2 linked regions of the Oryctolagus cuniculus genome follow. The protein of the gene in region 2 purifies or fractionates together with the protein of the main gene of each other region. This does not show direct contact. Links are inferred from orthologs where the notes say so. Each region holds a gene or a part of one and is shown on either strand. Other genes may lie near its edges.

What was found.
Region 1: the proteins of CCNK (region 2) and CDK12 purify together in Homo sapiens (affinity purification with mass spectrometry; 6 studies listed by BioGRID and IntAct, with this or other methods). This does not show direct contact. The link is inferred for Oryctolagus cuniculus from reciprocal best matches to the Homo sapiens genes CCNK and CDK12.

Annotation. Positions count from the first base shown.
Region 1 is NC_091448.1:22,835,513-22,839,662, reverse strand, and holds the end of CDK12 (cyclin-dependent kinase 12), read left to right. Parts: coding exon 1-430; 3' UTR 431-3,646; downstream 3,647-4,150. UniProt on the Homo sapiens protein: Cyclin-dependent kinase that phosphorylates the C-terminal domain (CTD) of the large subunit of RNA polymerase II (POLR2A), thereby acting as a key regulator of transcription elongation.
Region 2 is NC_091451.1:43,336,159-43,340,254, reverse strand, and holds the start of CCNK (cyclin-K), read right to left. Parts: upstream 2,815-4,096; 5' UTR 2,572-2,814; intron 2,475-2,571; exon of another isoform or gene 2,255-2,474; intron 1-2,254. UniProt on the Homo sapiens protein: Regulatory subunit of cyclin-dependent kinases that mediates activation of target kinases.

The sequences.
Region 1 (4,150 bases), on a different chromosome or scaffold from region 2:
CAGTGCCACTGACACTGATGAACGCAACTCTGGTCCAGCCTTGACAGAATCCTTGGTCCAGACCCTGGTGAAGAACAGGACCTTCTCAGGCTCTGTGAGCCACCTTGGGGAGTCCAGCAGTTACCAGGGCACAGGGTCAGTGCAGTTCCCAGGTGACCAGGACCTTCGTTTTGCCAGGGTCCCCTTAGCATTACACTCAGTGGTCGGGCAACCATTCCTGAAGGCTGAGGGAAGCAGCAACTCTGTCGTACATGCAGAGACCAAATTACAAAACTATGGGGAGCTGGGGCCAGGAACCACTGTGGCCAGCAGCTCAGGAGCAGGCCTTCCCTGGGTGGCCCCAGCTCAGTCTTCTGCTTATGGAAAACTCTATCGGGGGCCTACAAGAGTTCCTCCAAGAGGGGGAAGAGGGAGAGGAGTTCCTTACTAACCCAGAGACTTCAGTGTCCTGAAATATTCTTTCCCTATTCATCCTTCCATCCAGTCCTCAAAACCTTTAATGAAATCATTTGCCAGAGGGAGGTAGTCATCTGCATTTGGCTAGTGCGAAGCTGTCCAGTGTATTTCTTGCTCACTTGCTAGAAGCAAGTGACCTATAAGGATGTTGGCACCAGTTCCTCCTGGATGGGTGACAGCCAGAATTTCAGCTCTACCTAGTAGATACAGTAGAGAATGTGAAAAAGAGTCATTAAATTAAAAAGCAAATGTTTTATTAGCTATTGACTGCACTTCTTGAGCAGAAGAGAGAACAGTTTCAGTTTTGAGATGGCTCAGGAGAGGATCCATTTGGTTTTTAAAGTTTTGGGACTTTTTTCTCTTTTGGTGGTTTCTTTTAAATTGTAGATTGGGTTGTTTTTGGGTTTCGGGGTTATTTTCTTTTGAAGAGAATAGTGTTCACAAAATTTGAGCTGCTCATAGGCTTTTGTTAAAAGGAAAACAGAGTGGCCTGGCTGATTGAAATAAATGTTTTCTTCCTCTCCACCATTTCACATTTTTGCTTTTAAGTGAACACATTTTTCCCCATTGAGCATCTTGAACACATCTTTTTTCCAAATAAATTACTCATTCTTATAGTTCCCTCCACTTTGAAAAAAAGATGTGCCCCTCTCCCTGCACATAAACCAGGTTGTAGAAGGTGGCATTCTTGGGCAAGTAGGTAGACTTACTCTATCTATTTCTGTTTTTTATTTATATTTATATATTCTCTCCTTCCCTCTTACTCTCCTCCTACCCTCTCCCATCCTCCCTCTCTCCCCTCCCCCTTTTCCTCTCCATCTTTGTTTCTCTTTCTGCCTCTCCTCCATTCCCTCCCATTTTGAGTAATTTGTTTGGAAAAAAATCATTAAGATGCCAAAGAACCTGGAATAATTCTTTTTTTTTTTTAAATAAAGGAAAGGAAATTCAAACTCCTACATTGTTCTTTGTAAAATGTTTTTTAAAAACCATGTTCTGATGGGGAAGTTGATTGTAAATGTGGACAGCCTAGGACTTTGCTGTTGAGCTGTGGTTAGAGATGAAGCCTCCAACGTAGAGGGCTAATAAGAGCAGTTAGTATATTGTTTACACATATATTTTTATGTCCAAAAAAAAAAAAAAAAAAAACCTTTCAAACCAAGCATTGTGATATTGTCAAAGAAAAAAAATACATCCTGAAAATATGTGGAAATGTAACCTAGTTTAGGGTGGGTATTTTTCTGAAGATACCTTTTATAAGAGATAGTTTTAAAACAGCTTATTGAGAGAAAGAACAGTATTGACATATACACATCCCAGCCATGTATATCCTGCCAATTCTTTTAGAGATTTTTCACTGGAGAGATTTGGTTTTGGTTCTGGTGGTAAAGGGGGTTAAAGTATGACTTCCTGGCAAGAACTTGGCCTTATTATAAACAGGAAATGGAAAAGAGAACGACTCTCAGGGTTGAATAATTTGGGAGGCTTCTCGTTCTGTCTTCCATTTCTTCGTGAGTACCAGCATACAGAATGTGACATGTCATACAATCTGTCTGCACAGACTTATTGCATGAAGCTTAGGTTAGCTCTCTTACAAAGAAAAGGCAAAAACATACTTCAGCATCTTGGAGGATAGTTTCCAAAACCTAAGTAAAGGTTTGTGTTGCAATGCCAAGTTCTTATATTAAATAAAATCTGCGTATAAGAGAAAGGTGCATCAATTAACAAAAGAAAACTTTATAAAGAAAAGAAGAACCCACTTCAGATACTTACATGAAGACTTTTCCCGTGAATCGTAATAGGTAGTTACTGGTGTGTGTATTTCTTTATTATTATTTGGTTTTTGGTCTGCCCTTGCCCTCGGGGCCAAACATCGATTAGAAAGAGAACCTAGCCATTTTGGCGTTGGTGACTTTTTATGCAAGTATGTCCAGTTAGATTTGCCAGGCACACTGAAATGCTATTGGTTAATTACAATAAAGTTCATCTGAATCTTCTGTCGACTTCTGAATAGTCTTCAGATGTGGGCCTTTATATTTTAGAATATTTCAATTAGAGGGCTTGGGCCCCAGTCCCCTGTTTTTGATTAAAGAGCCTGAGCCTCAGATACTTTCAAAAGTATCTGTTCAGTGAAAAAAATTGGTTTCCCACCAGATATGAATAAAATTTTATATGTTTTCATTGTATTTTGGTTGTCAACAATCATCAATAATTTTCCCCCTCCCTTTTCTACCCCTAATTTTTAATTATGCCAAATATTCTAAATAATATACTTAAGCCTCCATTCTCCCATCCCTGCTAGGGATGGATGTATGTGTGAGTGTGTGTATGTGTATACATGATTCCATCTCACCCCACCCCCATTTGGGGAGTCTTAACTTTTAAAAGGAAAAAGGAAAAAAAAAAAGCAAGTTTGGTAATTTGACTATTTCTAAAACCAGAGAAAAAGAGAAACTCCTTTAATATCCTGGAATCTCTGTGGAGGAAGAAAAGGTATTTGGTCACTTTTCAGCCATGTTATCTATAAATGTGATGGAAGTAAAGGTTTGGCAGAATTTCATCTTGGCTCTCTGAAAATTACAAACCGAATTAATTCCATTCAAAAGTGGTTTTGGTTTTATTTTAATTGTACCTTGGAAGATATCAAGGCTATTAAATACATTATTTTGAACAGATGAGAAATCTAATTCTGTTCACGAATAAGAGGCAAAACTGGTTTGACCATGATCATTTTTGTGGTTTTGAAACAAATTTGCTTGACCCAGTTGTTTTTATTTTTTTTTCTTCAGCTGTCCATAGAAACAATAAGGATTTGAAAATGACATCAGATCTATATGTTTAAAGCAGGGCAGTTAGCACAAATTTGTAAGTAGGACTTCTGTTAGCTTATGCCATAGACATCACCCAGCCACTTGTATGTGTGTATGTATATAATATGCATATATAGTTACAGTGCTACAATGGTTACCAGCAGGTTTTGAGAGAGAATGCTGCATCAGAAAAGTGTCAGTTGCCACCTCATTTTCCCTGACTTAGGTTCCTGACACTGTATTCCTTTCTCTCTCTTGTTTTTGCCCCCCATCGGGTGTACTTTGTCTATGTACAGATATTTTGTAATATATTAAATTTTTTTCTTTCAGTTTATAAAAATGGAAAGTGGAGATTGGAAAATTAAATATTTCCTGCTACTATACCACTTTTGCTCCATTGCATTTCCTTCTTAATCTGTACTTTCTGAGCATATCTGATCATGTATAAAGGGCATTTTCCTCCACTCTTTCTTAGGGGTTCTCCATCTCAAAATTGCTATAATCTCATAAACTGCAAAAACTAAGTTTTCAGGGTTTGAAGAGGTACTTGAAAAGACTAGGAACTAGTGAATTTTTAAATGAAAGAAACTGTAAAATGCAATTTCTTTTAAAAGTAGAAAACAGTTACACAAATAATGGTGGCACAAAGCCACTGAGAGTTGAGCATCATGTACCCTGACTCCTCCTGACAGGAGAGGTAAGTGGGTTTGAGCTCAGCTGTCTTCAGGGGAAGTCGTTAAAAGACTGTTTAGACCCAAAGGATAGTCTCTTAAACCCGATTCCCCACCCAGTTCCCATGTTCTAGAACAGGGTCAGCCTGGGGATGAGTATACTTAGGTTGATGGAGATTTCCTGATGCATTGCCAACCCTGGAAATAAATCAACGT
Region 2 (4,096 bases):
TCTCCAGTTTTGTTTGTGGAATCTGAAGTTATTCCAATTTAAAATAAATTACTGGACTGTGGGAAAAAAAAGTACTTATGTTTTACTTATTTGAAAGGGAGCTCTACAGAGAAAGGGCTCAATCCTCTATCGGATGGCTCACTCCCTAAATGGCTGCAACAGCTGGGGCTGGGCCTGGAGCTTCTGCTGGGTCTCCAGTGTGGGTGCCGGGTGGGCCATCTTCTACTGCTTTCCCAAGCACCTTAGCAGGGAGCTGGATTGGAAGTGGGACAGCCGGGTCTTGAACTAGTGCCCACATGGGATGTTGCAGGTGGAACCTTAACCTGCCACACCAGGACCAGCCCTATATTGATCTCTGTGTGTTCCGTTCCTTCCCTAGATCTGCTACATAGATGGCACAAAATAACTACCTTGTAAGAACTCTCCATCACTCCCACCTAGAGACTTTTAAAGCCTTGGAAACAGTTTCTCTGACCTAATGATTGCCTTTGAAATATATGAAGACAATTTTGCCTACCCCTCTTTTCTCCAAGGTAAACAAATTAACCATTTTTCCATAAGGGTTCTCAGGGTTTCTAGGTCTTCTCTAAATATTAGCCATCAAAATGAGAAAAAAAGAAACTCTGTAAGATCTATGTAACAGGTGGTCTGAGAGTAACACGTCCACGGTGTGTCCGCAGAGCTGCAGCTATGGGGCAAGTTACCTGTCTTACCCTTACAGCTGATCCCGGAGAAAACCAGCCGAGGAGACACGAAGTAACCTGCCCGGTGCACACCGCTGGCGAACGGCAGTCACAATTTGCTTCACTTCAGACTGAGATACTGCCTTCCCTCAGTGCAGCCACTACTTTACCTCCAGAACGGAGCACCACAACCCGGAACCATTTCCTGTCAAGCCAGTTCCTCCTCATCTCAAATACTCACAACTGAGATTTTGCAAATTTCGGTGTAAATTTAAGTTTTTGTAAATGTAGTGTCGTTCTTCTTCAGGACGACACTCACATCCAAATGCTTCGGGTTTGGTAATTTGAGCGGACGCCCATCCATCCGACTACAACGTCAGCCAAGCCGCCCAAATGTCCAGCAATCCCGCAGCCACCACCAGGGCCTGAGTCACCCGGCCCCGCAGGCCCGAGGGGCTCCGCTCTCCTTTCCCAAGCGCTTGCGGGAGATTCTACAACGGGTGACAAAGCAGCGCCCGGGAGCCGTCTCCGAGAGAACGGACACGCCCCGGAGCTCAGTTTTCCATCACAACTGCACATCTGGGGCTCCTCCAAAGCCACGGACAAGCGTATACAACCGACTCTGCCCCTCCGCGTGCGCAACTTCATCTGCGCTTAAACCCGGGAATGAGGCGACCCAACCAGATCCGCTCCGCCGTCTCAGTGACCCGGCAGGTATTTGTCCTCGCCCAGTCCTCATTTCCCTTCCTTCAGACACTCAGCAAACTCACCGCTTTCCACAGTCTCCCAAAACGAAGCTCATTCCTTACTCCAAAACTACGAGTGATTTTTTTTTTTGCTTTATGAGACTGAACTTAAAAAGAGCATTCAAATCTTAAGAATCGCATAAACAATTCAAATGTTTCTTTATTGCTTGCTGGTGCAAACTGCATTTTCCAAACAGCACACGCGTGAAACACGACTTAGGCAAGAATCCACCAACACGCACGACTAATGCGTCACTCGCTGAAGGGCGGTTTCGCTCGAGGTACCACCTTAAAAACGCGACAGGCCGGACAGCAACGGCCCCGGTCAGTCGTCCCTAACCTCCCGGGGTCTGCAAGAGCTCCGTTGAACGGGCCACAGCTGTCAGCGCCCTCGCTAACCCCCGGACCCACGCCCCGAGTTCCTGAGCTAACAAACCAACCCGAATCTCATCGCGGAAGTGCCTCTTCCCATCCCGCCGGCCCACCCCCGCTGCGTCCAGGGTCCGCTGCGGGGAGCGTGGGCGGTCCGCGGCTGCAACCCCTGCCCGGTTCCGCCACCGCAGGGAGCTCCTGGAACCCCAACCGGACCGCGCAGGGAGCGCGGCTGCCCGCTCCAGGGCCCACCCCGAGTCCCCGTCCGGCCCCTGCGCCTCAGCCCCTCTGCCGAAGCCCGCCAACTTCAGCGTGCACAGGAGGCGAGAGGCGGGGTCCGGAATCAGGGAAGAGAGACTCCGCGCGCGGACGGAGGCGGGTGGCCACACCCTGCTCCGACCCCCGGGTGAGCGGGAGCGGGGCGGTACAGCCCGCAGTCGGTAGGACACTCACCCCTCGCCTCAGGCAAGCCCCTTAGCTACGTCTCTCCTTGCCGACCGCGGCCATCTTGGATGTGGAATGCTGGGAACTCTACGTCATCGCGCTGCGTCGCGCAACGTAAAACGAGCGACCGGAGGAGCGGTGCGCACAGGCGCCTGCCAACCAATCAGAAGAAAGTAGAACTCCCAAAAAAACTAGCGAGCCGGGGGCTCTGCTCCCCGCCCACCCCGCGGTAAGCAGCTGCTGCGTGCAGGGGGAGGAGCCAGCCAAAGTGCCCGGCCCGACGGCCCCGCCCCCCATGGCGAAAGGGAATTCGGGAGCAACCGAACCTGCTAACGGAACTTGGGTGCGAAGGCGGGGCCCGAGCCGCCAGTTGTCCAATCAGAGCTATGGCGTGGACCCAGTCCAGCCAATGGTGGTCTCGGGGCTGGCGGCGGCTGATCTGGCCGCTCTGGCCCCCGGGAGCCACCAGCCCAATGGCTGCGGAGGATCCCGGGCGGAACGGCGGCCCGGCGGCGGGGCGGAGCCGCGCCCATGCGTGCGCGGCGCGGGCCAATGAGCGGCGGCGGCGGCGGCCCGGGGGCGGAGTCCGGGGGCGGGCGGAGCCGGGTTGGGCCGCGGCTGCGGGGCCGTCTCAGGCCGCCGTCCCGCCCTCCCGTCCGGCCGCCGCCGCCGCCGCCGCCGGGTTGGTTGAGGCGGACGGTGGGGTCCGAGCGCGAGTGAGGCGCCGCGCTGCGCGGAAGGGGAAGCGGGCAGGTGAGTGTCGGGGCGGCGTCTCCGCGGGCACGGGCCGCGGAGGTGGCCGGCGCCTCGGCCCCCGAGCGCTTCCCGGCCGCTGCCCCTCGGCCCAGGTCCGGCCCGCGCCCCAGCCGGCCGCTGCGGGCCCCGGCGCGGCGGGTGCGAGCGGGCAGGGCCCCCGCCCTGAGGCCCAGCGGGCGGGCGCGCCCACGAGTCCCGAGGCGGCGGCAGGTGCAGCGGGCAGCCCCGGCCGCGGGCTCCGCGTGCGGCGACGCCGCGCTCCCGTTCCTGCCGGCGGAGGCTGTGGAGGTGGGGTCGCGCTCCCTCCCGACGCTCGGGGCCCCCGGGCCGCGCAGTTGGCGAGACCGCCCGGGAAATAGGTCGGCGCCGGCCGGCGTCCGCCAGGGGCCCGAGCGGGGCGTTCCGGTGGTAAACTCTCGCTTCCTGCCCGCGGCCGCCGCGGCGCGCAGCCCTGGCTCCCCGGGCTCCCCGGGCTCCGCCGGGCCTCGGGGGCGGCGCGGCCCCTGCCCGGCTGGCCCTCGGCGCGGCGGCGGACTCCCGAAGTGTGCGCCTGCTCCAGCCCCTGCGCGCCCCGAGAGGTCGCCCTCCGGCGAGGGTGCGTCCGGGCCTGGCCCCCGGTGCTGGGGGTCCCCCCGGGGCCGTGTGGACTCCGCCGGCCGCCGGAGCGCGAGTTTCATCCCGAGTAAAAGCTCTTCCTCCTCTTCTCCCTCCTCCTCTCCCTCCTCCTCTCCCTCTTCCTCTCCCTCTTCCTCCTCCTCCTCTCCCTCTCCCTCCTCTTCCTCCTCCTCCTCCTCTTCCCACTCCCCCACCTCCTATTTTTTTCTCAAAATTGACCCTGCCGGTGTTTAACACCGGAGCTGCGGCGGCGATGTCCATTATTTTGAGCGAGTGCGCTCAGCTCCAGGCTACGGCAGGTTGGAAGCGGCTTTGGCGCGCCAGGCCGTGTCTATGCGGGCTTCCCGGCGTGGAGTCCTGCCTCGCCAAGTGAGGCCCCGGGGCTGCCGTGCCTGCCGTCTTGGTGAAGGGCCAGCGGCCGGCCGAGGCGCTGTCTCTGGCTGGGAGAGCGGCTCGCGCGGCCGAGTGCTCCGGCAGCCA